Linked DNA regions of Zea mays. Each later gene encodes a partner of the first gene's protein in a complex. Links are inferred from orthologs where the notes say so. Each region holds a gene or a part of one and is shown in the gene's direction. Other genes may lie near its edges.

Region 1 (2,335 bases):
TTGGTCTTTCAAGCGTTAGCTCGTGGTCTTCCGGTCTAGTGTTGAGGTTGAGTACCGAGCCGTCACTAGTGGGGTTGCTGAGGCGAGCTGGTTGCGCCAACTCCTTTAGGAGCTTGAAAACCCCCTCACTCGGAGCACATTTGTCTACTGCAACAACTTCAGCACCGTCTATCTCTCCGTCAACCTCGCCCAACACCAACACATGAAGCATGTTGAGGTCGATCTTCACATCGTCCATGAGCGCGTTGCTGTTAGGGACATCCGTGTTCATCACGTCCCGATGAGCTCGCAGTTTGCCGACATCTTCACGAAGGGTCTTCCCTTGTTTTTATAAATTCTATCTAGTCAATGTTTGCTCTGGCTAGTGTTTTGACTGCCCCGGGGGGGGGGGGGGTTGGCCTTTAGGGTTAGGGGTAAACCCTATATATCTTGTGCTCTCTACACTTGTGAATTGATATAACATATTTTAACGAGTACAGCTATATGTACACCCATATAAAATTTGGGAAATGCTTCAAGTACAACCACAGTACAACTCAGAATCCAATGGTTGGGATCACTTGGATGGAAAGCTCATACGTGCATTACATGGTTGTACTTAAGTAGTTGAGTTATGCTCAAGTGATTGTACTTGATGCATTTTCAAAAATTTATACTGGTGATATATAGGTCAGAAGTAGGTCGTTTTCAGCTAATGTTTTAGCTTAGTACTAATGTAGTGTCGAGTATTTGTTTGATTGATAGAGTAAGCAATCATTGTTACCATACATATTGTTAGGTCATAAACATACTGCTGTTATAGGTATGGACATGTGTGGACATGGTCACTGGTTAAGTAGCAATGGGAAGATCGTCCACATCAATCGGGTAACTGGTGAAGCACAAGCACGTAGTGAAGGTGTAGCGGAAGGTAGTCTTAAGACCATATATCCAAGCATAACTGTATAATACATTATCAACTAGACTGTTCTTTTTTTATGATAACTTCTCGCAAATCTACTCTTTCTAAACAGTAATCTTCAAAGGTTCAAATTTTAAGCTGCAAACAACTATCACTGTTCTCAAGGTGAACCAGATAGTTGTTGATGCTCCTGCGGAGACACTGACTAATGCAGCTGGCCTGCCGGATGGATACATGTTTTCTGTGAGATTTAGGTTTGTATTGCTCATATGATAACCTTCCTTCCACATTTTTGTAATTATATTATAATCAAGGCTGAAACTACTCTAACATACCAATGTGATTTCCTTGGGATTTCGTGTCAATTCAGGAGCAGACATAAATTTGTGGTATACTAGGTTGGAATATGTGGAAAGTGTAACGTACTGATTTCAAGTGCACAGATAGTGCATGGTATGTGCACTATGGAAAATACCATCTAAGAGCATCTCCAAGAGACTAGCTAAATAAATTTTAGCTACTTAATAGTATAATAGCTCTCCAACAGACTAGCCATCTAACTTGCTAAGCTATCTGGTTCTCCAAATTAACTCACTCACTAGCCAAATTTGGCTAGCAACTCTCGCTAGCCAAATTAACTTGCATGTTGGAGAGTCTGTTGGAATGAGATTTTATATATAGAGTTTAATATTTATGGAGAGACAAATAAAGAGTCAAATAGAGAGTCAAAAATAAAGAGTCTCTTGGAGATGCTCTAAGCCAACTGCATTTAGTATTTCTATATGTGTAGTTATCTGCTTCTGCTGCAGTTTGTGATCTTAAAGGAGAGGCTCACAACATTTATATGCATAAAATGTCTCATATGACTTCTAGCATAGGAATGCAGTCACTATGAAAATCGGATAAGTACCCTTTGAAACTGTAATTGAGTTTATCACATGTATCTGCAACTATCTCCAGTCTCAAAGGAATGTAACAATGCATATCATTTGTGCTAACCTTTTCTCATTTCTTTTTCTATAGTGATTCAATTGAGCACAGTATTGGATCCTCTGCGAGCCCAATTAATGTCCCCTTTGAATGCAAGGTTGACCCTTCTTTTGTTGGGTACGTTTCCTTCTCGTCAATGCGTACACAAAGCATCTCCAGCAGTTCCCAATAATCTATCCCCAATATGTATGTATTGGGGTAAGCCCAATATTGTTTCTGTGAGTATTGGGGGAGTTGCTGCAGCCGGAACCCAATATATCTCCCCCAATACCCATGTGGAAGGTGAGTCCTGCAGGAGTGTAAGAGGAAAGATGGCTGAAAAGTGATAGTTGGGGTGGGCCCCATGGTATTGGGGGAGATACAGCTGCCCCTTTACTTGAGGGGAGATGAGGGAAATATTGGTGACCACAAAAAAGGAGAGGCATTGGGGAACTGCTGAGTAAG
Region 2 (4,171 bases), on another chromosome or scaffold:
CTCAAGTTCCTCAGCTGAACCATTAGTTTGTCCAGCCTATGATCCCTCGTTCTTCCCTCAAGACGTGTTCTTGCCGAATCTACAGGCTTTCTCCACCTCCGCTGCACGCTGCGGTTAAAAGGACCGAGCTGAGTCGTCTCGCCCAACATCCGCGATAGCAGAGCGAGTGAGTGAAGGCTCCTTGCTCCAGATAAGATCGATGCCATTGTGTTTTTCACAGTTCAATTCTAAAAGATACGAAAATGCACCGAGAACCACATGTGGATCTCTAGAGCAATGGCGACTTGCTGGAGCTGCAACTGCAAGAAGGAAGGAGATTGCACGCGGAGTCAGTTTAGTAGACAATGGAATGGAAAGCACCAGGTTCGCATGAATGCACGTGGGATTGTTCTATTTACATGACTTGATAAGGTTCACTGAATAAAGAGGAGAAAAGAAAGCTGCTGATCAGTGGCGGAAATCATCCAGGGTAGGGGTGGGTGGGGGTGTGTGGGGAGGGGGTAAATAATTAAGGCTAGAAATCTTACTGGCGACATACCAAAATGTATACTAGGTACAAGGAAGAACACAAATAACAATATCAATTCTACCAAAGCAACATGTACAATGCTAAGAATCTTTTTTATATTTTCTCCATTCTAGCCTCCAGGCTCTGAGGTATGCAATGCGGCAACGACTGCTATGCAAGCAGTCCTTCTGTGCAAGCGTGCAAGCAAACCATCTGATCCATTAGATCGTGATTCAACCGTAGGTCACATTTAACACTTAAACCCTTCCACCACCCGCTCAATGCAACTAAATTAATCATTAAAGTAAAAATTTGCCAGATAAAAAGGGATGAAATATTGATTACCGGTGGCCAGTTAGTAGAGCGATGTCATGTCCTTTCTACTCTCTGCCTCAGCAGGTTTAGCACCAAGGTGCCCAGGCGGCCAAGCATGGTAGGGGCCAGGGGCCGAGCAGATTGTGCGGGCTCCTGCCGCTGCCGGCTGGGAGCCTGCCAGCCTGGGAGACTTGCTGCCTAGCCGCCTAGAGAGGGGGTTGGAGGGTTGACCGGCTGCCGGCTGGGACCGAGACGACGAACAGGCAAGCTGCAAGCTCCAAGCGGCTGCGGACCACAGTGGAGAGGGGCGAGGGGGGCGCTGGCAGCTTGCGAGATGCGTCGGCGGAGCCAGCAAGCGTGGGTGACGGCGGACGGAGAATGGTGGATCGAGAGGCGAGGTGCGAGGTGCTTTGGGCTGGGCCTTCAAGGCCTGGTTGTTTATGGGCTGGTTTTGTATGGGCTGCAGAGGCGAAAAACACATCCGCCCCTGGTCTGCCCGTCGCGCTCGCGCCTCCGTTCTCTCCCCGTTCGCCGCTCGGTTGCTTCCGCCGCCGCTTCCCCTGGCTGCCTCGTGTACTGGTCGAGCTCAAGCGCCCCATTTCGGGCTGGGTCCGGGAACCTCGAATCTATCTCCTAACCCTATCAAGCTAGCTAGCTGCGATGCCGAGCTTCCCTCCGCCGGGCGCCGTCACCATCTGCGAGATCAACCGCGACCTCGGTAAGCGCCCAGCAAATCCGCTGCCCCCCAACAACCACACACTCATTTTAACTAGCTGTAGTAAGCATTTCCGCTCGCTTGTTTGATTCAATCCGCCTCCCCCTGGCCTCTCGCAGTTGCGGTGGATGCCCTCTCCGACGACCGCGCCAAGGACGCATATGGGGATGTCCTCGTCAGTCCGCTCCCCTCGAACTCACTCTTCATCTGTGAACCACGTTGTGCTTGCCTGCCTGACGAGGGGCTCAAATCTGGGGCTTGTTGGCCGTCGTGTTGCAGGGGATGGTGTTCGCCCCGATTCCGTTCCAGCCGGAGGCTCTTCTTCTCGCCAGCCGCGAGCCTGCTGCTCCTGCCGCGGACCAAGTCGAGCCTGCTGACACTGTGCCCACCGCTGGTTTGGCAGCCACCATATCCGACTTCTTCAGGCGGATGGTCTTCCCTCCACTAGACGTGAGTTGGATCGTCCTATCTGAATTACTTATCCTCAATGTAAACTTTTTAGTAAATCATTACAATGATACTCACATTCGACCATTCTGGTTTGCAAGCCAAATAAATTTGAGTTACTACAATGCTGTTCACATTGGATTGTCCTATATTCCTAACTGAGATTCTGAGTTACTACAATTTGATGTTCCTCAAATTTGTCCCCAGAGATACCCGCGTACTTAAACCACTCGCTTGTGTGTAGATAAGTGAACTCCAGAATTTTATCATATCTTTTGTCAGTTGCTGGTGCTTATATCTACATACAAATACATGGTCATGCAACGAAAACTCTGTGCCCAAAGGCGAATGCATTGTCTGCTTCTCACTTCCCTAGTGCCACAGTGTGCTTTCATGATCTGATATATGTTGAATTGTTTTAACATAGTAAAATAACTTATTTCATGATTCAGGAGGTAACAATGTTACTCAGATTGCAAAAGCACAGCTCAACATAACTTGAAGGTTGATGTTGTATCAGAACTCCAGTTACTAATTCATCCAGCATACTTCCCAAAAAAAAATCTATCCTCCAGCTATTGTTCTTGGGATGAACACCCTAGATTTGCTTCCTGCTTGTACATTTCCTGTGTGATTTTTTACGAAACCATTACAGTCGTACTCAAATTCGATCATTCTTGTTTACCAGCCAAATCTGCTAGAAGAATTTGACACGCAGAAAGTAAGTTGGAATCCATACAAGCATTGCTTAGCATTCGTGTCTGGGAAGAACCAGGTTACTGTCCAAGACTTTGAGGACTCAGGTAAGATCGGCCTTGTGCCTATTTTGCTATGTTTTATTAGTTTATTTATGAACTGAACTCTATCCATCAGGTTAGTTGCAAAACATAACATTGGCCAATCTCTTTAACAGATGCTAAAGAACCATGCATTTTAACAAATGATCATCAAACGGATGTTAAGGCTGTTGAGTGGAGACCAAATAGTGGGAAGATGATTGCAGTTGCCTGCAAGTGTGTACTACTGCCACCTCACCATTTAACTTGAATCAATCCTTGTTGTCTCTGAATAATTTGCTGTCATACTTTACTTTTATATTGAAATCAGCATTTTCTTTTCAGAGGAGGGATATGCCTCTGGTCGGCATCATATCCTGGCAATGTCCCATTCATGAAATCTGGGGTCACTTCTTCTTCCTTTAGTGCCTTCCCTAGAGGTTCTGGTGGTCAGTGGATACTTGTGGATGTTCTTCGTGGCTCTTCTGCTGAGCTCGTTAGTGCACTTTGTTGGAAACCTGATGGAAGATATCCTTGATAAGTTTCATAGTGGCATTGTGAATTTTGCTGCTGCTTTTCATCTCTCCTTTTATTTATTTAACTCGCTAAACACCTCTGTATCATTTCGTCGGCAAAGAAAGCTAACCCAAATATACAACACCACTTACCCAACACAACACAAACACTCAAACCCATTATGCACAATGCAGGCATGCCATTGGAACAAAAGGAAAAAACAACCTAATAACCGACTAACCGAGGCAGGAGGCCATAGAAAAGAGTTTGGAGGTCTTTAGCCATGACTACTCACCGTTTCTCTTGTTTTAAAACTGTAAAATAACTAAAATACAGTGTGTGGCTAACTTCAAAAATTCTATTTTTGCCAAATTTACAGCACCATGCATACATAGATGTTTACAGTAGGTTTAGTCATTTGTGGGAAATTTCAACGGTTGAAGACATTTTTTTCCTTGACTGCTCTCCACATACTTGGCATCTGCCTCATGTAATAGTTCATCTTTCACAATTTGGGATGTGTCTCAAGGTATGTATACCAGTCCTTTTCTCAATACATGCAGTCAATCCCATTTATACAGAATTGTTGGCTATAATCTTGACACATTCCTTTTGCTTCAGGGTTGGGAACTCCTATACGGCGTGGATTAAGCAATATATCATTAGTGCGGTGGTCACCCAGTGGAGATTACCTTCTAGTTGCTAAATTGTATGGTCAATTTTCACTTTTCGTTTTCATTTCTTGTCGATAATATTTCCAAAAATTTAAATTTCATTTATTGCTAGTGATGGTACTTTTCACTTCTGGGAGACAAACACATGGACTTCAGAACCCTGGTCTTCGTCTAATGGATATGTGTCTGTAAGTGATATCTTCAGTCACAAATACCTGCT

What was found. Proteins that work in one complex are often made in the same cells at the same time.
Region 2: Nuclear pore complex protein GP210 (region 1) and Aladin-like share a complex: the UniProt entries of both Arabidopsis thaliana proteins name them as parts of the nuclear pore complex. The link is inferred for Zea mays from reciprocal best matches to the Arabidopsis thaliana genes EMB3012 and AT3G56900.

The regions. Positions count from the first base shown.
Region 1 is NC_050097.1:170,603,112-170,605,446, forward strand, and holds part of Nuclear pore complex protein GP210, read left to right. Parts: intron 1-802; coding exon 803-910; intron 911-1,013; coding exon 1,014-1,155; intron 1,156-1,924; coding exon 1,925-2,008; intron 2,009-2,335.
Region 2 is NC_050105.1:1,560,001-1,564,171, forward strand, and holds the start of Aladin-like, read left to right. Parts: upstream 1-1,361; 5' UTR 1,362-1,483; coding exon 1,484-1,541; intron 1,542-1,657; coding exon 1,658-1,713; intron 1,714-1,817; coding exon 1,818-1,988; intron 1,989-2,673; coding exon 2,674-2,788; intron 2,789-2,898; coding exon 2,899-2,998; intron 2,999-3,106; coding exon 3,107-3,289; intron 3,290-3,747; coding exon 3,748-3,806; intron 3,807-3,898; coding exon 3,899-3,986; intron 3,987-4,063; coding exon 4,064-4,139; intron 4,140-4,171. Other genes in the region: protein ROOT PRIMORDIUM DEFECTIVE 1-like, read right to left, coding at 1-206.